3 linked regions of the Oryctolagus cuniculus genome follow. The protein of the gene in region 3 purifies or fractionates together with the protein of the main gene of each other region. This does not show direct contact. Links are inferred from orthologs where the notes say so. Each region holds a gene or a part of one and is shown on either strand. Other genes may lie near its edges.

Region 1 (7,338 bases), on a different chromosome or scaffold from region 3:
TAGTCAAAGGAGAAGCAAAATACAGATGTTTTCAGAACCGGAGAGGAAAAAGCAAAGGAACCCTTTAACAAGGCTACAAGAACAAAAGCCAGGTTGGGGGGGTAGGCGGGGAGGAAAACCTTGTGTTCCATATGGATGGAGAGAAGGCCCCTGCCTTGACTGACTGGCACCTATTGTAGCTAGGCTGTTTCCCCAGTTAGAAACTTTAACAACTGGATGTGACCTTTTTTTTGCCTGAAAATTTCATGACCACACTTTCCCAAACTAGAAGAAAGAGAACATTAATTTAAGGCTAAGAAGAAAAGAGAGCTGAGACTTATATTCTGCTTCACATTTTAAAACCTGTAACATTTCCCCCTTCTTTAAATGGGAAGCAGACATGTTTTTATCCACCCCCCCTCAAAATTTAATTATTCTCTTTCTCCCAGAAATTCATCAGGGCTGATAGTTTGGGAACAGAGTATAAGCAACTTCTGAAAAAATGGCTCTAGCCTTACTGTTTGGGAACTTGCCTTGGATTCAAAATTGCTACAAAGCTAAATTATATCCATGTGTTACACACATGCTTTCAAATTCTGTTTGACAATAAAAATCTGTTTCAAAATTAAAGCAGGTAAGAATACTTAACCTCTGTGCACTTTATATTTAATTATACCTCAATAAAAACTTTATAAACATTAAAGCAGGTATACAAAAACTGTCAGCCAAACTCATTTTAGTCAAATTTATTTGAAAACAACAACACAAAACCCCTGACCTGGTACAAATACCCCAGAAATGGTCTCAACTTTTGGAAAGGCTCTGGGATCCTTCACAAATGACCAAACAGAGAATCAGAGCATTTTCCTTGGAAGTAGTACTTTTGTACTTCTGTAAACACTATCCACAAGTTAGCCTCTTATGCTTGTTAGCTGCATGAAATAGTTATGAGTGCGTCCCCAACAAGCAAGTCTAGGAACAGGCACTGGACACTTGTAAGCAGTAGCAGTATTGATTCAGTACGTCAAGATACTGTGAAAGGAACTCAACCTCGCGCAGAGCAAAGGAAGAGGGTAGTGAGTTTGACAGTATCTGAGAGTTGGTCTCCTGGCTTAGAGATACCAGTGGAATTAGAAATGTCCTACAGACAGGAGCTCTCAGAGTCACATGCTGTAGTTTCAAAAGCTAAGTAGTTTTAGTGTCTGGTAATCATGGTCTCTTGCAAATCTGTTAGTGACGCAAGGACACTTAATAATGTATTCATCAATGTGTTAATATAATTGGAAAGCTGCCCTGTATTTACTCAATAAATACTCTGGGTCCAGCTATTCCCAACAGCCTCTAACAAACCAACCTCTGGACAATCTGCAATTCTTGTAATGTGCTTGTGAAAACGAGACTTTGAAACCTTTTCAAAAACTGCAAGCAAATTTTACTGTGGAAAATTCTCTTTCTTTTCTCCATAACTCCCCCTAACATATGCTAGAATCCTTTTGGTCTATAGGCTTTCCCCAATAAATGGGACAAAGGCAAAGGCTGAGTTATATTTGCGAGTATCTCATCACCTCTGCGTTGAACTGTGGGAAAGGGGATGTGCTTTGCTTTTGCCATGGCACTCCCGTCTAGAGTCATGGGAAGGATTCTCCCTGTCTGAGCTCTCTCTCTTTACCCGAACTTTTTCTCTATTCCCATCACTTTCTGTTTCTGAGTCACTCAGCTCCACATCTGGGCAATACCCATCATTTTCATTATATGGAGCTTGCCCTGCAGGTAGCCTGAGAAGCTGCCTATCCCAGAACTGTTCCTTGGGATTCACATTCTTAGTTGGCTTCATATAGCACTGGAGGTCCTCAGTGGTCTTCACCCACCTATTGGTGGTCTCTTTAAATGACCTGCTGAAGTGATCCATACTGGATTTTCTAAAGCTGCACTGACTAGCCAAGTGGGGGCTGCTCACGGACTCCTGGTCAGAGAACATCTCGTGTGAGCTGTCTTTTTGGGTGACATTCCCAGACCAGTTGCCCTCCAGACCATTAGGTGCGGCAAACTTGGAGCTAGGCTGATTTTTCCCATTCCCAATGGAAGACTGTCCCTGGAGGGCAGCCTGAAGGACCAGAGGCTTTCCCTGTGACTGCCCATGATAGAACTCCAAAGATGGACTTCTCCAACCAGGACTGGAATCCTTTGCTTCACCTCTGGAATGGCTGAGAGTGGCTGGCAAACAGTTATTCTTGCTCTCTAGTGGATGCCTTGGAAACGACTGCATACTCATTTCTAGCGACTCCTGAAGTGCCTGCAGGCTCCTTATATCGTTACCAGAAGAGGTGCTGTCAGGAGAGCAGGACTGGTGATCAGTCTCTGTGGAGCCATTTCTGCAGTCTTCTGCAGCTGACTTGGGCATTTTTAACTTTAAGGTAATTCTTGGTGGTGGGTAGAACAATGAGCTTTCTGGTGTAGTTGTCAAAGGAAGTCCTGAGTTCAAAAAGAAAATACTCATTTTAGCAACTGATTTAAATAACAATGTCCGTGCTTATGGCAGAATTAGGGCACATACCTACTTTCACATGGGGTAGCAGGCAGAGTAAGCTAAACCAGAAGCTGCAGCTAAGTGTGCTACAGACGAAAAGCTTAGCAATGACACTGTTTGCTGTATGGCAATCCTCTATCTCTTCACCTCTGTTCTCCTAGTCCATAAATGACCACAAAGAGTTGTCTGCCGTCTCCTGCATCTCCAACTCTGTTCCTTCCATTTCTGAAAACAGTGTCATGAGCAATGTGGAACAGGGTCTCCCAACTGTATGTCTGTGTGTTTGTGTGTGTGCATGTGTGGGTATTGTCTAGCACTTGGGATGTGCCTTAAACACAGACTTTCCAGATCCCCTCCTCCAATAACTCTTGGCCTTCCTAAAGCAAACCAAATACAAACCTACAGAAATGTGGCACAGGTTGTGGTAGTACAGAGTATGTGTGTGCTCTACCCTGGCACTAGAAGTGCCTGTGAATTTTAGGACCTTAACCTAGAATAATCCCTTGACTACAAATGACAATTTTGGAGGTGTGGATGAGGTTTTGCAGTGGTAAGGCCAGCAGAAAAGAACTACAACATTTCTGCCAGTGGCCAGCTATGGGCCTGGCCTGGGGAGCATGGGCAATCAGCTACCTGGTGATGTTACTCAAAATCACAGGATAGATCTAACTCTATTATTCTGAGTGCTCTGAAATTAAACAAAAAAACACTATCAAATAATTCCTCTCTGCATATTACTTAATCTTTTGTCATTATCATCTTACTGTAACCTCACAAAAATGAAAAATTGAGAGGACAGCTTTTAGTTGTCCCAATGGGCAGCATTTGTTCAAGGGTCCGTATGGAATATCTACAGCCCCCACCTCTACCTGGGGTTGCCACCTGCTGATGCTGCAAGCTGTAATGAGGCTGATTCCTACCAATCAGAAGCCATGTGACTAGGGGCCAATTTCCTCAGTGGGGGGTGGTGGTGGCAGGGGGGCTCCTCCCTGCTGTCCTTTGGTTTGCCTTGTTTTACCTGGCATGTTGCTCTTCAGCTGCAAAGGCGGCTGGCCCCTTCTACACCACTCTGTGACTCTTGCCACTCACAAATGCCTCAGAGCCTCTGCTGCCTACCTGACACTTCATTTCTGAGTGTTTCTTTTGCTCTATGGCTGGCCCAAGGCAGGAGCTGATTCTGCACATCTTGCTTAGTGAACTCTAGTTACTCAGGCTCTGCCATCAACCTCTGTGTTAAATGAGGCACAGGGAAGCTATAGGTATCGCTGATACCTATAGCTATTGGCTGTCGTCATTCCAGCCAAGCTCCCCATGCTTAGGGCACTGTAATTACGCTGACATGCCTCTCTCACCAAGTGGGCAGTGTATGTCGCAGCTGAGAATTCAGTCTTGCTAACCACTCTGTCTTCTAACTCAGTTCTTAGTCCACAGTAGGTGCTCAAAAAATATTAGTAAATAAAAAGAGCCCAGATCTGTAACTCCTAGTTAAGGATTTGTTTTAATAGACTATTATTAAGCTGAGTAACTCTGGGGTTAAGTGTTTTCTGTAAAATGGGACTAGATCTTATCACATTGATTTCTAAATGTAAAAGAATAATTTTGTGACTCCAACTAATGGCCTTGAATATCTCTCTGGGATCTAGATCATCTGTCTTAGACCTGAAACACCCACAACCTTACTCTGGGACTTTTTGCTTCATGATTTGACACTGCAAAGTTGTATCAGTGCTAGATGAAAGCAAATAAGACATTAGACAAGATATTAAAAGGATTTTTCAGTGGACAATTGACATACAATCTAAATTGCTAAAATAGGTTAAACAAGTTTACATATGCATTAGGACATCTTGAATAACAGGTTACCTGCAGCAATTTCTTGGTTAATAAGCTGGACTTGCAACCCGAAGATCTGTTCCTGTAGTTTGTTTTGTGACAGTTTCAGCTTCTCACGTCTGCTTATCATGTAGCACAGGTTTCGGACCTGAAAGCCCAATCCCCAACAAGCAGATTTGTTTGTCATGTTAAACAACCTGACAGTTGAAGCTGTTAAGCTTCACTGAAGACAACTGAAGTCAGAAGAGGGGCTGGAGGGTTGGTGAAAACAGAAGATAGAACCCAAGGGTCCTAGAATAGTCACTCCACAGAAATGCACACAGGATGGTCAATGATGGGATCATAGTTTCCATATATATCAATAGCACAAGCAAAATGCTCCCAAACAGCCTCCTGAAATCTGCTCTATTTGTAGTATCCTGGAATCAATATTAATCTGAGCAGCCATGCTGGGAACATCAACTGATGGTTTTAACAATTCAGCTTTGGGGCTGGTGCTGTGGCATAGCGGGTAGTTGCCACCTGCAATGCCAGCATCCCATATGGGCACTGGTTTGAGTCCTGGTTGATCCACTTCCAATCCAGCTCTCTGCTATGGCCTGGGAAAGCAGTGGAAGATGGCCCAAGTGCTTGGGCCCCTGCATCCCTGTGGGAGATCCAGAAGCTCCTGGCTCCTGGCTTTGGATAGGCACAGCTCCAGCCATTCTGGCCATCTGGGGAGTGAACCAGCAGAGGGAAGACCTCTCTCTCTGTCTCTGGCTCTTTGTAACTCTGCCTTTCAAATAAATCTTTAAAAAATATTCAGCTTTCCCTTCAGATATGTGAGTACAAATGATGACAATGCTGAATCCAGTACAATTTTCTAAGGAGTGCTGGAACAGCAGGATAAAGGTATGCTGAGAAAGTGGAAGTGTTTTTTTGGCTCATACTTTGAGCTCAACAAGTTTCTACAACCACATGAGTAAAGTCCTCACTTTCTTATACTGTGTCCCAGTTTATTCATCTGTAAACAAGGATGATAACAGTATCTTTCCAGATGCATACTAGGATTAAATGAGTTAACATTTATGAAATGCATAAAACACTATTGACAACAAAATAGTAGATATTATATAGGTACATATTAAATTTTTAAAAGTGAGCCAGATATGTCAATTCTCTTTCAAATTTGGTACAGAAACAATTCAAGTCACTTTATAATTATGCAATTCTCTAGGATAAACATAGGACCTAACTTATCTTTGAACCCCTGCAGTACCTAATTTAGTAGATATGATACATATGAGTTATACTGAATTGTCTGGTTGAGTGGATCTCAACCAGGGATGATTTTGACCCCCCGTGTACATTCGGTAATTTGAAGACATTTTTGGCTGTCATGTTGGGAGTCATGGAGGTGCTACAGTATCTAGTGAGTAGAGGACAGGGATGCTGCTCATCCTATAATGTCTCCTACAACAAAGGACAGTCCCCTACAATAAACAACTATCCAGCCCAAAATCTCCACAGTGTTGAGTTTTTGAAACCCTGATTTAACACGTTCTTTAATAAAATTCACTAAAGCTTTCTTCAGGTGGCAGTATCAAAATGTGTCAGTAAAATACAGTTGAGTCAATTTAGGCTCAAAAGTGAATAAAAGTAAATTAAATGAGAATTTATTTCAAATTAAAAGTTCAGAGCATATAAATAAGGCCTCTCCAATCCCCTGAATGTGCCTGCTAAAAATTTAAACAGAGCCCAATGTCTGGGGCCACGACGATATCATAACATAAGCAAGGTCTCAGAAGCCCACACCATAACGAACTATTTTTAAAGTGGAAGTGGGTACCCCATTTCTATGCAGACCATAACACATCAGTCACAGGTGGTGGTGGTCACCTTACCCTTTCCAGGTCCTGCCGAAGGTGCATAAACATTCTCATGCGAGTGTGAATGCTTTCCTCTTTTGGCTGTATCAGGGCATTTTCTTCATCTTCCTTCGGAGGAAATAATGGCTTATTGAAGTTACTTTTGCGCTTCAGTTTCCAGTAGTTATAGATATAATCCACAGCCAGTGTGGGCATCCCCAGCTCTGCAGCCACATCTTCCATTCGGACGAAGGAATAGAACTCTTCCTCCAGCTCCCGAAGCTTCTGGGCCCGCAGGCTGATTTTCTCGCTTTTGGCCTGGCTCTGCTCTGTAGCCCTGTGGTGGGGGTACTCGGCCTCCCTGAGTTTCTGCCTGTTTTGGCTATGCTTGAGGCAGTAGGACCTGAACTTCACTTCATCCCCCTCATCTAGGATGGTCTTCATCTCAAGGCTGTGCTCGAAGGCACAGGTGACGTGGAAGGCAGTGATGCAGCTTTTCACAGAACACTACAAGAAGAAAACAGCTGTCAAGGTTGGGGGCGAGAGGGAGAGCCCTATGTCTCTGGGCCTAAATTGACAGCTTTTTAGGAAGCAAAAGAAAGACAAGGAGAAAGTTGGTCCTAAACTGACCATGATAGATGCTTTTTAAGTAACTCAGGAAGCCTGCTCTTATGGAAAACAGCAAAAACGGCAGCTTAAACATGTGAAACTCCCCCTTTTAAAGTTTCAACTCAAGAATTCAAGCTTTGGGCCAGTGCTGTGGCTCACTAGGCTAATCCTCTGCCTGTGGCACCAGCACTCCAGGTTCTAGTCCTGGTTGGGGCGTCGGTTCTATCCCGGTTGCTCCTCTTCCAGTCCAGCTCTCTGCTGTGGCCTGGGAAGGCAGTGGAGGACGGCCCAAATGCTTGGGCCCTGCACCTGTGTGGGAGACCAGGAGGAAGCACCTGGCTCCTGGCTTCAGATCGGCGCAGCGCACCGGCCTTAGCAGCCATTTGGGGGGTGAACCAATGGAAGGAAGACCTTTCTCTCTGTCTCTCTCTCTCTCTCACTGTAGATGGACGACCTCTCTCTCTTTCAAATAAGTAAATAAATCTTAAAGAAATACTGAAATCTCATTGTTGAAGCTGACTCTTTTGGAAGTCTACACTTCCA
Region 2 (7,338 bases), on a different chromosome or scaffold from region 3:
GGGGGGGGGGGGGGGGGGCCTGGTCCACAGGCTGCGCGGGGGACCCCGCCTGGCCCAGCACCTCTGCAGCAGGATGTACAGCAGGCAGGGCCGTCACGCTCGCTGCGACCTGAAGCTCTGCAGAATCGGAGATGCCGGGGCGACACCAGGCTGGTCAGGCCCCACCTTCAGGCCCCCAGCGACAGTTCCAGGGCCCAAGTGGGAAGTGCTACTTCCTCAGACACCGACACCCAGCTCTGCCCTGGGAGCCTGCCCACCCGGGACACCTGAGGGCCGGGCAGAGCCCGTGCCCTTGGGCCGGCTCCAGCGCCAGCACTCAGGGCTCCCAGCCACAGACTCAACGGTCCATGGACACGTGGGGCCGAGGCCAGAGACTGAAGCACCGCGGTCCAGGTGCCCTGGCCCGGCCTCGCCGGCCTGTGCTGTGGACACCGACTCAGGACTGAGCAGACTTCTGTAGAAAGTGATCTCCAACTTGTGCCAGGGCCTCCAATGGGAACGGCCTGGGAGCCAAGCGGCAGCCAGCCTGGCCCACAGGCAGGTGTGGCCGACTAGGGGAGGAGGAAGACCAGCCACAGCCACTCACAGCTCCAGCCTGGGGTGCTGCAAGAGAGCGGGGCACACGAGGCCAGGCCCCCAACTCCACACTGAGGGACGAGAGGGAGGCCTCGGGAAGCCCTCCATTCAGAGAGAGAGAACGCGCACACTTCTGCCTTTCAACGCCCCCCCCCCCACGTTTCATCGGAGGGCGCGCAGCACCCAGAGCAGCTGTGGACAAGGCTGTCCCAGGACACGGCCGAGTGCCAGCGAGCAGGGGGCGGGGCAGGTGACAGCAAGTCACCCTTCCCAGCAGGGGGCACGAGGAAGCCTGGCAGAGGGTCCCAGGGCCTCCCCCTGGTAAGGGGACGGAGGAAAGGCTGAAGGAGAGACCAAGGCTCCGGTCAGCTCTGCAGAACGGGGGCCCACGCGGGCCACAAGGCCCTGGAGGGCGTGCCAGGGAGCCTGGGCTCAGGCTGCTAAGGTTCTGCAGCCAGGGCGGCACGCCCCAGCGCCTCTGCCTGCACCCTGGCTTCCCAGCCTGCCCCATGGGCTGCAGCCTCAGGGTGGAACCCACTGGGACCGCCCCCTTCAGCAGCCCTCCGAGGACCTCAAAGGACACGTGTCCCGCAGGATTCTGAGCCCCACTCCAGACTCGAGACCCACACAGGTGACGCCCCGGGGGAACCCACGAACACCACACACACGCCTGTCACCCAGAACACAGCGGGGGCTCCGGCACAGGGTGTTTTAAATGCTGAGTGAAGCTGGCGCACTAGGGGAGTGAGTGAAAACAGGGCTCCTGCCAGGAGCCCACTCTACCCAGGACCGCCGGCCCAACCACTCTGACGAGCCAAGCAGGCCGTGGTTGCAAGGGAGGGGACCCCAGAGGGCCCCCAGACAGCCTATCAACCCTCTGCAAGAGGCCGGGAACCCACCCTGAGCAGCTCACGCCTGCAGCACAGGGCAAAGCCCCTGGCGGGAGGACAGGGGCTGGGGTCTGCATCCTGGTCCCCACTGCTGCCATCGCCAAATCTGCCCCAGAGCTCAGATGAACCTGACGAGTTCAGACACACACCAAGCCCAGTGCAGGACGAACGTCCAGTGCGACGACACCGGCCAAGCTGCGGACACGCTCTTACTCCTAGAAGTGCCAAAATGACCACACGGCTGTGTCTTCTCCACCCTGCAGTAGGCACTCAGCCACGGGGACCGGCACCGTTACACTGCAGGGAAAGCCACCAACTGCAGCGCTGGCACCCATACGGGCACTGGTACAAGTCCCGGCTCTCCACTTCTGATCCACCTCCCTGCTAATGCACCTGGGAAAGCAGCAGAAGATGGCCCAAGTGCTTGGGCCCTGGCACCCACGTGCGAGACCGGGATGAAGCTCCTGGTTCCTGGCCCAGCCCTGGCTGTTGCGGCCATTTGGAGCGTGAACCAGATGAAAGATCTGTCTCTAACTCTGCCTTTCAAATAAATCAATCAATCCTAAAAACAAACTCGGCAACAAAGAAGTTCGCAGACACCACCCTGCTCCATGAAGGAGGTCCCCAAGGGCAGGCACGGGGCACGGCCAGCACGAGACAGCAGCCAGTCAAGGGAAGACGTCAAGGGAGGTGGAGTATCAGGTAGATCCAGAAACCAAGACGCTAACAACCGAGTGAGGACACACGGCAGAGCCGTCTCCAGACAGGGCCACGTGCAGGACCTGGCCCGGCAGGCAGGCGTGTGGGCACCTGAGGACAGGCGCGGAGAGCTGGCGCTCGCGGTCTGTGCCGCAGCAGGTGCTCCAGCCGAGGGGCATTCTCCGGGCTCCCCTCAGAGGGAGGGCAGAGGCAGAAGGCGCCCGCCAGCTCAGCCCACCGCCAGCTCTGACTTACAGAGGGGTGGGCTGGAGGGCGCAGGTCTCCTCCGGGGCTGGGCTGGCTTTGTCTAGAGGACGGCGGAACTGATGGCTCCAATGCGATCCATGCGGATGATGCGGAAATGCAAGGGTGCAGGGGCCTCTGTGCTCCGAGAGGGCCACTGCGCACAGCCACTGTCCAGCTGCGGGAAAAAGGGAATGACCAGGACCCAAAGAGCGAGCGACAACCTGGTCTGGCTGAAAGGAAGGGACACCGACTCCTCCCCGAACAGCGAAGATGCAGAAGACAAGACTTGCTTTCACCCCCAACCACGGGCCTGGCAGGAACCTCGCGGCAACAGTCTCAAGGAAGGCGCAAGCAGCCCGTGCCAGGCCAACGCTTCTCGGTTGGAAGTAACTAAGCAGTCGCAGCAGAAGGAAGCTGCAAGCCAGGGCGGCTCCGCAGGCTCAGGCCCCCGCTCCAGGCTTCCCCAGGGCCCAAGGCACCACAGGCCCAGCCTACGGCACGGGACGGTGACAGGAGCGGGCCCACAGGTGAGAGTCCAGGATGAAGGAATCCGTTCTCAATCTAACTCGGAAGCTCGCGTGCACTGGAGGACACAGAGCGCTCCCTACAAGTTCAGAGCACACAGATGACCCAGGGGAAACGCGGAAGGTTCCGGAACACTTCGAGTCCTCAGAATGCGAAGAAGTGAAACTCGGAGCAAGAAATCCAGGCGTGCAGAGAGCACAAGGTTCAGGTGACGGCGAAGCCAGATGGACGGAGGACTGGCCACACTCAGACCACACCCAGCCCCGCCCGGGCTGGGCAGAGGACGCAGCGGCTGCCGCCTCGCGCTCCTGAGGTCTGTCTCAGCGCTAAGGCTCGCAGGCCGCTCAGAGTCAGGCTTAGGGGCTCACGCGATCCACTGACATCTACTGCCACTCTGGAATAAGAAAGCAGAAGTCTGTTCAGTGAGGGTCGACGGGCAGAGCATCCTTCCAGAAATGTGCAGCGCGGATCACCCGGTGAGGACCGCCTGCGACTCACCGTCGCCATCACACAGGCAGAGCTGCCCTCCAGCGTGGAGAGGCACAGAGGAGACCCACGGGAGGTCTGCAGGGCGCGGCCACCAGGCTGGTAAAACTAGTCCACTGCTAGAGGCCCTCAGGGACAAAGGCCCAGCAGGACCTAGATGGCCAGGCGAGGCCACCCGCTGGAAGCCGCCAGTGCCGGCACGGGCCCCAGGTGAGGGCGGGGAGGCCACTGCCCCCGCCAGCAGCTCTGCGGTGGGGCCCTGCCCTGCACCCCATGCCACGGATAGTCGTGCAGCCCTGAGGACGCGGAGCACCACACGGAGCTCCATGCCCCGTGTGTGGAGCAGAGGCCTGCGGCTGGCCAGCAACATCAGCCAGGGCCTGGTGCCCTGGAGTTCGAAACAAGGTGCCGGGGTCTCTCGCTGGACCTGGCTGAGAGCAGCTGGAGTTGGGGAGAGAAACCCCAGGAGCTGACAAAGCCCCGACACCTGCACCTGTGTCCTCCAAGGCTCCAGGCAGCCCCGTGACTGCCAAACACAAAGGCCTTGCCACATTCCCAAGATGGCACCCTAGTCAATGGCCAGCACGTACGGACACGGACGGAGCCTCTAAACGTTTCTGTAGTTACACGTGCAAAACACTCTTACACAGTAAAATGGAGTTCAGAAGGAATCACCTCCGCTCACAGGAGAAAGCATGCTCTATCCATCCAGTGAAGACCCTCAGGTGGGCACCATGGATGCAGGGGTGGGTGGGCCTGCTCCTTACTACCCAAGGGCACAGCCAGTAGAGAAGGCAGGACGGACAGACAGGAAGGACAAACACCACAGCAACACTCCTGGACGGAGCGGTGAGGACGGGCCCCTGGCACCTCCAAGGCTGTTGTCTGAGGGCCGAGGACAGAGGCGCAGCGGGGGCGTGGGCACACACGGAGCGACTGGGGAGCAGAGCAGCGGCGACACGCGTGCCCGCGGCCAACGAGCAGCACCTGAGCGGCCCTGCGGCCGTCCGAATCCCCACGTGCGTGCTGACGGGGCTGCAGCTACATGGTGTGAGTGGTACACGGGAGGCTCAGGGCCAGGGCTGAGGAGACCCTCCTGGGGGCTGCGAGGGCGGCCGGGCCAGACGCGGCACTCAAGGGCCCCAGTGCGCCTGGTGTGCACACCACCTTCAAGACAAGCAGTCTCCATCCCCAGGAGACGTCACTCCCGTCGCTACACTGCTCAGGGCAGAGCGCAGGGCCAGCGACACGAGGCCGCACCGCAGGGCACCCTCGGACCCAGGGTTTAGGACCTTCGGGAAGAAAACGGCATGGTTTGTTCTGCAAAGGACCACAGTGCTGCCCGAAGCACAGCCCCTGCGGGCGCGGTGCCACCAGCCCACGGCGCTTACCTGTGTCCAGGCGCTTTCCCGGGGACTCCTGCTCCACCTCGGAGTCTCCGCATGTGCTCCGCGACCTTTTCCTTGGCTGCAGTAGAGTCTCCAACCTCGGAAGGACTACAGACAAAAAGGTTTTGGTCCCTAGCTGAGGAGAAGTTGGCTGGGTTTCAGTGTTCTTGGCAGACTTTGGGGGGCTTACACTTTTCGATTTGCAGAAGAGAACAGAGGTGCGTCTGTTTACATCGCTTGATGGCTCCGCCACCGCGGAGGCCGCCGCCGCCGGCACATCGCCACTACTGGCGAGGGTGGGCTCTGGAGGGTGTCCGCTCACCAGTGCGCTCTGAGTGCAAGTGCTATGTGAGGCATTATCAAATGTGACTCTTTTGAATAGTTTACTCTGCTCGGGGTTGAGTTCTACTGGTTTGAGGGTTGGTGGTTCTGAATTAGTCTCCGAGTTTGAAGGAAGAGGTAATGCATCTGATGGTTCAAGTTTAGGGGGAGATTTATCTCCTGAAAAAATTATAAATAAAGTGATTTTTGAAAACTGAAGATTATAAAATCTATCATAAAACTTACTATAAATGTGAGTCCACCAAAACACTACTTCAGTTAAGGAAACAAAGCATCCCACATAACCGACTGTGAAGCGGGAGGCCGCCCTGGGCCGGCCACGCTGTGAGCGCCTCCCTGGCGCCACGGCATGGTGTGGCACCGGGCTGCGAGACCGTCTCATGCACACAACAGTCCGCACAGCCCTCTAGCTCACGCAGTTTCTACAATCAACAACTCACTTACCTTGAAGAAGAAAACACCTCACCCCACCAAGGGGACCTCAAACGGGCCTCCCGGACTCTACCCCGGGCCCCAGGTCAGCTTCTGACCGGAGCGTCCCCAGGAAGACAGGCTCAGTCACCTCGGCACAGACGAGGTTAAAATTTACCCACAGAAAATCGGGGTGTTCGCAAACGACACGGCACAGGCATCCTTGGTGCAGCCTGGGGCGGCCGACAGCCCGGCACAAGGCCACGCCACAAGGCCACGCCACAAGGCCACGCCACGCCGCGCTACGGCTGAGCTCCCTTCCAAACAGGACTGGCTTTGGCCACAGGAAGCATGGCGTGAAACCCAGAGTAACCCTTCAATGACCTAAGCCGTGCGCCGTGCCTGTGGCCACTGGGCACGTTTCTTGTTTTATTAAACCTCACGCTTCCTGAAAACCACAGGACGTCTGCAAGGCTGATGTTTAAATACAGACGTCCCTGTGAAAACGAGAAGCTGCACACTCGCTCAGGCAGGCCTCTGAGCACCCAGTTAACTCGGAGCCGACACTCCGGGAACAGGACGGCAAACTTCCTTCCAGCGACGTAAAGGAGCGGCGCAGCCCGGTCAGGGCAGCTGGGGGCTCGCTCTCCGCGAGCAGCCGCACCGCCGCTCTGGGCTGAAAGGCACCGTCTCCAGCCACTGCTCAGCGCGTAACAGAGCAGTCACGGCCGGGTCACACTCCCGGGACAGGTGTGACGGCCACAAACAGCCTTTTGTTCAATAAGGCCTTTCATAAACGTTGTAAATGGGACACAGACAGCACTGAGGCCCCGGTCCAGGCTCCGCCAAGGATGCCCTCACAGTCTCCCATCCACCCTGTCCTTGGAGGCCAAGGGGCACTTCAAACCTCATTTCCTGCCTCCGGCTCAGTGTTTGGACTACCCACCCTGCCTGGGCAGCAGAGCCCAGGGTGGACAGGCCCCTGCCCAGCTCAGGTGCTCCCGCCAGGCTGGCAAGGCACCACTGCGCTGGGGACTCTTCCCCACAGCACCACCACACCGGGGCAGGCTCTTCTGGTCACCGTGTGCGGCCCACGTTCCCAGCTGCTGCCACAGAACTCCCCAGACAGGCTCCCCACACACTGACAGGGGGATGTCCAGACACCCCAGTGCAACCCCCACAGGCCATCATCCTGAACCTCGGCCTCCCCATCCCTTGCTAGGGGCTGTGAGGAGTGCAGACCCCTCCCCTACCAGAACAGCCTCTGCCACCCACACAGCAGCAGGCCCCTCAGTCCCCAGAGCGCAGCCTGACTGGAGCTAATCACACCATGGAAATGCTTCTGAAAAGCTTACGGGGACTAGGGGACTCGACGCAGACTCAGAGAGAGGGAGCAGCCAGGATCCGGGGCCACTGCTGGCGCACAGCAGGTTCACTGCCACCGGCAACGCCGGCTGCTCCCCTTCCCACCCAGCTCTGCTGTGGCCTGGGGAAGCAGTGGAGACGGCCCAAGTCCTTGGGCCCCTGTACCCACGTGGGAGACCTGGAGGGAGCTCCTGGCTCCTGGCCATAGCAGTCATTTGGGGAGTGAATCGGTGAATGAAAGATCTCTCTCTCTCTCTCTCTCTCTCTCTCTCTTTTTCTAACTCTGCCTTTCAAATAAATCAATCTTTAAAAAGAAAGGAAAGAAGGTAGGTCAGTAGGTGAGTGAGGCTCCTAAAATTCCACTCACTGGAACTTATCACAAACACAAAACAGCAAAGCAGCCACCCGCA
Region 3 (7,385 bases):
TATATATAAATATATATATAAATATATATATACCCACTCATCACGGCCATCTTTGTTGTAACCATTTCTGTGTTTATAAATGCATTATCTCTGAGAATTTTCATATTTGATGTTTTGTTTATTTTTGTCTTTTTTTCCTCCACCCTGTCTTCTGGCCATGACATTTTTGTTTCCTTTTGACTTTTTAAAAAAAAAATCATGGCAGATTTCAGAGAAAAGAGAAAATTTTAAAAAAATCAGGAAACAAGTTGTTATAAAGCAGTTTAAAAATGAAGAAAAAAAGAAACTTATGTACAAACTAAGGGGTGTTTTTAGAACATTGTATAGAAATAAATTCATGTAAAAGGATCAGAGGCAGTGGAGCTACTGATGTGAGCAAGTGGGACAAAGCTCTGGGGACATGTTCAAGGCCAGTGCTGAGGGTTTACGCCAGTGGGTGTATGAAGAGTGAGTGCTTGTGTGACGAGGCTCCATGTGTGTAATTCCCCAGCCAGAAAAGGATGCCCTTTCATTATCTCTTAAGTGAGATCTTGGTTTATGAGGGTTTCTACACACTAATTCTGTCATGAGGTTTGCATTGCCTAAATATGTGAGAATAGGGTTTCAGTTCTCACCATCAAAAAAAAAGAGAAATGGCCTCTCCAAAGGACCTATGATGGGCTCCAGGAATTGCAGTTGGCAAAGCGTGTACACACACACCCTGTGCACCTTCAACCAGAGGCTCCCAGTGGTGGGAACCCTCATGGGTGCAGGATTAACAATGCAGAATGGAGTTCTGAGGAGTGAGCATGGTCTGGAAGCTCATACCTGGGTCCGGACCCCACCACCTCCAGTGTTGGCCCCAGTGCCTCTTGGAGCTGTTAATGAAGGAATTTGGTAATTTCCAAGATTTACTTTCAAGAATTGAAGACTAAACAGAGAGTTGTGACCAAACTCCAACACCTGACAACTGGTGGATCTCTGGGACTACTTGGCAAACAGTGTTTGGCATGGCACAGATCCTTGGTTATTCAATAATGCCCACTTGATTTGCTGGGCAGGCAAGATAATGGCTACTGCTGCAATACTGAGCAATTAGCAAGTATATTTGGTGACCAAATATGCCAGTGTTTGGTCGCTTCCTGAGCATTTACTGCCTCTACTCACGGCAGAAAAGGGCGTGATGGTCTTCACCAATATTAGAACAGGAACCTTTTTAAGGATACACAGACACTGCAACAACCCTGTGAGGTAGGTACTGTTCCTACTGTATAGAAAGTGAAAAGTGCACAGATTACTTGTCTAAGGGCAAGGCACCTGTAACTTCAGAGGGGAGATCCTGTACCCTACCACTGCTCAGTGGCCAACTTGGGGGTCCACCTTGCCCTTCCACGTACTTATATTACGTGACTGAAAATATTAGAAACCTGCCACATGGCATTGATAGTAATTGCGATGGACGGGGTGACTATATAACACCACTAGTTGGTTACGGGTTTTGAGTTCTGATTCTCCCATGAGGTACAGCCCTGATGGAAAACATTGAGATCACTAGACTATAGCTGACCAGGGCGATGGCTGGCATTTAACTGGCCTAATTGTGGTAAGAGTTCCATGCCCCAACCCCTTCATAATTATGTTAACATCACATAAGAACTCAGAAGGGAAGCAAAACGTGAGATTTCCTCAGTGACACGAGGGTAAGGTCAGAAGCACTACATTTGTGCTGCTGATAAACGCTGTGCAAAATTACCTTTATTTTCTAATTGTATTTAAAAGCAGGAAGTTTATAAATAATGAATCAACTTGAGAAATAATCCAGGGGAGATGGTGTTCGTGTGAACACAAATACGGAGCGTTTAAATCTCAGAGCCTCATACTGCTTTCCAACTTCCTAGCTTGCCTAAAAGTCCTGTTTCAGCCGGGACCTCCTCTGCTTACCAGACTCAGACTCTGCAAAAGAAAAAAGTTGGCCTCCCTTCTTGAAGAAAAGAGACCTTTACGGGCCCAATCCTAAAGAGAAGCTTCTATCCCCATTACCACACATCGCCGTTTTGGAGGGGAAAAAAAAAAAAAAAAATTTGCAAGAGAATGCAAAATGGCGACCTCCAGTGACGTCATACCTGTCTCGGTCGCGTACTGGAGTCTCAGTAAGGGCGGAAGTCGGCCACAGCCGCCTCACTTCGGGCGCTCGTGGCTACTCACGCAAAAGGAAAACATCCAACGTCGGGCGGATGTGTCCGGGCAGGTAATTTACTAAGGGCGGAAGTTCTTTTAAGGGCGGAAATACTATGACCCAAGAATAGCTTCCGGGGCGAATCGGAAGTTGCTTTGTTTTGCTCCAAGATGGCTGCGGGGATGTATTTGGAACATTATCTGGACAGTAAGAGCAGGCTGGAGGAGGGGGTCAGGGGTCGTAGAGTGGTGTGGGGATTGGGGCTGAGAGGATCTGTGGTCCCGAAGTCCCGGCGGTGAGCAGCTCCTAATTGTGCAGGGGTTCCGTGGGAGGCAATACTGAACGGTGTCAAGAAAGAGGGGGCGGGGCAGTAGGGTCGAGGCCTCTGGGTTGAGGGTCGGCGAGGGAGGACTTGCGCGGAGGGTCTCAGGATTTGTCTTAAATGGCTGGTCGACGAAACACGGAAGATTTTGCCGCTCCAGTTCTTTAGGGTCCCCAGCCTCGGGGTAGATTGGTTCCCCCCGGGGGTGGTTCAGAGTCGGTGTCACCCACTGCCTTTTGGAGCAACGGCCAAGACCTGCTCTAGTCTCCTGGTTCTTTCCCAAGTGGTTTCTCTTGAGGCTGGGGTGGTGTTGAGTGACCGCTATCAGATGGTGAACCGGAACGCTTCAGGGAGTAAAGGTCTGATTCCCTTCAAATGGAGATTAGTGCTGTTTATGCCGTTAGTGTAACCCACCCCTTCACAAAGCCTGGCCCCTGCTGCACTTACGTTTGTCTTAGTGTCACCAGTCATTCATTCGACAAATACTGAGTTCCTGCTATGGGTCAGACATAGTGAGGATTTTTTTTTTAATTTATTTATTTGAAAGGCAGAGGCAGAGAGGGAGAGGGCTTCCATCCACTGGTTCACTCCCCAAATGGCCACAATGGCCAGAGCTGGGCCTATCCAAAGCCAGGAATCTGGAGCTTCTTCCAAGTCTCCCAGTAGGGTGCAGGGGCCCAAGGACTTGGGCCATCTTCTACTGCTTTCCCAGGCCATAGCAGAGAGCTGGATTGGAAGTGGAGCAGCCAGGACTTGAACCAGCTCCCATATGGGATGCTGGCACGCAGATCAGAGCTTTAACCTGCTGAGCCACAGCGCTGGCCTCATGAGGATATTTTTTAAAATGAGGAAGACACAGGCCCTGCCCTCAAGAAGCACGTGATCTAGTAGAAGTCAGATGTTGCAAACACTCATATATATATATATATATATATATTTATAAAAGTGTGGCAGGAAATATTACAGATATAAGTACAGTGGTTAACAGTAGAGAGAAAGGGGCTAATTACCTCGGGATGTAGGTGAGGCTTTGCAGAGGAGGCAATATTTGAACAGAATCTTGAAGATTTAACTGTTTACTTGCTGTATGGGGAAGGAAAGGTAATGCTGTGGCAAAGGTATTGTGTGATGTGCTTGTCGCAAGATCATGGGACGATGAGGTCAGAGTCTGATATATACAAGGAGACATCCCAAAGCTCATGGAGAATAGAATTAAAAGGTGTTTATTTTGGTCCAGGTTTTTTATTTGAAACATTTATTTACTTGAAAGGCTGGGTGACAGAGAGGGAGAGAAAGAGGTCTTCCACTCTCTGGTTCACTGCCCAAATCCCTGCAACAGCCAGGGCTGGGCCAGCTGAAGCCAGGATCCAAGAGCTCCATCCAGGTCTCCCCCATGGGTGGCTGGAACCCAAGGACTTGGGCCATCTTCTGTTTCCTTCCCAGGCACATTAGCAGGAAGCTGGATTGGAAGTGGAGTAGCTGGGACTTGAACTGGCCCTCTGATATGGGATGCTGGCATTGCAAAAGGCTGCTTAACCTGCTGCACCAAAACACTGCCCCGACCCAATTATTTTTTAAAATCCTGGCGTATATGAGATCCTCAGAAGGCTCATGGCAAGTGCATATTCTGAAAAATATATGCATTGAATTCAGTCTTTTCTGGACCAGAACTTTTTTTGAAGATTTATTTATTTATTTGAGAGTTGGAGTTACAGAGAGGGAGAGACAGAGAAAAAGGTCTTCCATCACTCCCCCAAATAAATAGCTGCAACAACTGGGGCTGGGCCAGGCCAGAGCCAGGAGCTTCTTCTGGCTCTCCCACATGGTGTAGAGCTGGAGCGGAAGTGGGGCAGCTGGAACAACCTGGTGCCCATACGGGATGCCAGTCCTGCAGGCGTGGCTTTAACCTGCTGTGCTGCAGTGCCAGCCTCAACCCGATTTTTCTGTATTCTGTTTTTCCATTAATGTGTTAAAGTACTGTCACATGACCCTAAAAAGAGAGCTTGGGAAATGAGACTAAAGGAGGAGGCTAGAGCTAGATTGGGCAAGCTCTTTTTTTTTTTTTTTTTCCTAAAGATTTATTTTATTTTTTATCTGAGAGGCGGGGTTACAGAGAGGGAGAGACAGAGAGAGTGAGCGAGAGCAATCTTCCATCTACTGGTTCACTCCCCAAAGGGCCACAACAGCCAAGGCTGGGCAAGCTAAAGCCAGGAACCTGGAACCTCCAATCTCCCACATGGGTGCAGGAGCCCAAGCACTTGGGCCATCTTCTGCTGCTTTCCCAAGTGCATTAGCAGGGAGCTGGACGGGAAGTGGGGGGCCATGACTCAAACCAGTGCTCATATGTGATGCCAGCACTGCAGGCAGCAACTTAACCTGCTACGCCATCGCTGGCCCCTGGGCCAGGTTTTTTCATCCAAGCTAAGAAGTTTGGATTTAAACTCCAGTGATTATTTTGAGAATAATGCTTTGTGGGTTTTTTATTATTTTTGTTGTTTTAAGATTTATTTATTTATTTATCTGAAAGCAGAGAGAGAGAGAATGAGATCTTCCTGGTTCATTCCAGCAAGTGGCTTCAGTGGCTAGGGCTGGGCCAGGCCAAAGATACGAGCCTGAAGCTCCATCTGGGTCTCCTACGTGGGTGTCAGTGACTCAAGCACCTGGGCCGTCTTCTGCTGCTTTCCCAGGCACATTAGCAGGGAGCTGGATCAGAAGTGGAGCAGCTGGGGCTGGAACTCGTGCTCTGATTTGGGATGCTGGATCACAGGCAGCACTGTGCCACAATGCTGGCCCTCAGTGTTATTTTTATAAAGGAAAATAAGCTACGTATGATAAATTGGATCCAGATAAATTTGGTAACGTGGGGATCAGTTAGTGAAAACAGTCTGGGTCAGAGATGTGGGCCTGATCTCAGAGAGTAGAAGTTAAATATGCCAGGAGTTAAATATGCTGACTGAACGAGGGGTTGAGCAAGAAGGGAGAATTTCCGGTGACTTCTTCCTGCTGGAAAGTGAGGCTGATGTGTACCATCAGCAAGATGGGAAATCCAGCAGAAACAACAGTGTGTTTAATTCCATTTAGAGGTAAGCATAGGACTGGTTATTATAGCTATGAGGGCAAACAAGATTTTTCAGGAAAACAAAGTGAGAAAATGAGAGGACTGAAGTGTAATCTCAAGAAAACATTCACATTGAAAGGACAGACCAAGACATGTCAGTGTTGAAATCACCAGGAGGTGTATAATCAGATGTGAATCCTGAGAGGCAGGAAGTTACTCCAAGGAGGGAAGATGGTGCCAGCTGCTGCATGACATTTATTTTTCGGTTATTTTTGAATTGTAGAGAAGGCAATCTGCCCTCCGCTGGTTCACTTCCCAAATGCCAGCAACGGCTGGAGCGAGTCAAAGCCAAAACCAGGGCCAGGAGCTCACTATGGGTCCCCCATCGAGTGTCAAAGATCCGGCTGCTTGCAGCATCACCACTGCCTTCCAGGGTGCACGTTAGCAGGAGTGTGGGAGCGGAAGCAGAGCTTGGACTCCACCCCAGGCGTTCCCACACAGGTGTGTGAGTCCAGAATTGCATTTTAATTGTTAGGCCAAACATCTACCCCTGCACAGATTTTTTTTTTTTTTTTTTTTTTAGAATAGAAGTAATAAGAGATCGTTTGATTGGCTAAGTCATTTTTGATTTGAAGCACTAAGTGACTTGGCAATAGCAGGCCTGAGGTGCGTTAAAGCAGTAGAGGCATTTTGAAAGTTTGAGGTAGAGTCATGGGAAGAGAAAAAAATGTTCCTTTATGGAAAAATAAATTATTACAAGTATTTATTGAGTACCTTCTGTATGCAAGGCATAATTCTAAACACTAGGGAAATAGGTGAACGAGACAGACTTGTCTCTGCTCTTGTGGAGAGCTAGGGAGACAGATACCAAATAACTAATTGTGTAGTTACTAAAGCTGGATAAGTGTTTTAAAAAAATTGAAGTAGGCTGGCGCCGCAGCTCACTTGGCTAATCCTCCGCCTGCGGCACCGGCACCCCGGGTTCTAGTGCCGGTTGGGGTGCCGGATTCTGTCCCAGTTGCTCTTCTTCCAGTCTAGCTCTCTGCTGTGTCCCGGGAAGGCAGTGGAGGATGGCCCAAGTGCTTGGGCCCTGCACCCCCATGGGAGACCAGGAGGAAGCACCTGGCTCTTGGCTTCGGATCGGCGCAGCACGCCAGCCGTTGTGGCCATTTAGGGGGTGAATCAACGGAAGGAAGGCTTTTCTCTCTGTCTCTCAATGTCTAGCTCTGCCTGTCAAAAAAAAAAAAAAAAAAAATTTTGAGGTATAGGGGCCAGTGCTGTGGCTTAGCAGGTTAAGCCACTGCCTGCAGTGCAGGCATCTCATATGGGTGCTGGCTCGTGTCCCTGCTGCTCCACTTCATTCCAGCTCTCTGCTAGGCCTGGGAAAGCAGTATAAGATGGCCCAAGTCCTTGGGCCCCTGCACCTGTGTGGGAGACCCAGAAGATGCTCTTGGCTCCTGGCTTCGGATCAGCACAGCTCTGTCCATTGTGGCCATCTGAGGAGTGAACCAATGGAAGGAAGACCCCTCTCTCTGTCTCTCTGCCTCTGCCTCTCTCTAACTCTGCCTTTCAAATAAAATAAATCTTTTTTTTTTTTTTTAATTGAGATACAGTACCTTGATAGTATGCATCTGGACACTTGCTCATGAGAGTCTGGGCAAGTCAGATTTGAGCTGACCTCTGAGCAGTGAACAGAAAGAAGCCCAAGAGACGTGGGGGGGGGGGGGGGGGGAGGAAAACCCAGCAGTGTGTGCAGGCAGAGAGAACAGCGTGTGGAAGTCTGTGTTGCAGGAGCAGCCCTGGTGAGTTTGCACAACTCAGGGATGGCCAGTGTAGCCAGAGCAGAGAGT

What was found. Proteins that work in one complex are often made in the same cells at the same time.
Region 1: the proteins of ING4 (region 3) and JADE3 purify together in Homo sapiens (affinity purification with mass spectrometry; 3 studies listed by BioGRID and IntAct, with this or other methods). This does not show direct contact. The link is inferred for Oryctolagus cuniculus from reciprocal best matches to the Homo sapiens genes ING4 and JADE3.
Region 2: the proteins of ING4 (region 3) and BRD1 purify together in Homo sapiens (affinity purification with mass spectrometry; 5 studies listed by BioGRID and IntAct, with this or other methods). This does not show direct contact. The link is inferred for Oryctolagus cuniculus from reciprocal best matches to the Homo sapiens genes ING4 and BRD1.

What each region holds. Positions count from the first base shown.
Region 1 is NC_091453.1:32,612,036-32,619,373, reverse strand, and holds part of JADE3 (protein Jade-3), read right to left. Parts: intron 6,694-7,338; coding exon 6,223-6,693; intron 4,488-6,222; coding exon 4,370-4,487; intron 2,452-4,369; coding exon 1,541-2,451; 3' UTR 1-1,540. UniProt on the Homo sapiens protein: Scaffold subunit of some HBO1 complexes, which have a histone H4 acetyltransferase activity.
Region 2 is NC_091442.1:122,834,398-122,841,735, forward strand, and holds part of BRD1 (bromodomain-containing protein 1), read right to left. Parts: intron 5,312-7,338; coding exon 4,814-5,311; intron 3,331-4,813; exon of another isoform or gene 2,421-3,330; intron 1-2,420. UniProt on the Homo sapiens protein: Scaffold subunit of various histone acetyltransferase (HAT) complexes, such as the MOZ/MORF and HBO1 complexes, that acts as a regulator of hematopoiesis.
Region 3 is NC_091440.1:102,848,261-102,855,645, forward strand, and holds the start of ING4 (inhibitor of growth protein 4), read left to right. Parts: upstream 1-2,254; 5' UTR 2,255-2,325; coding exon 2,326-2,362; exon of another isoform or gene 2,363-2,450; intron 2,451-7,385.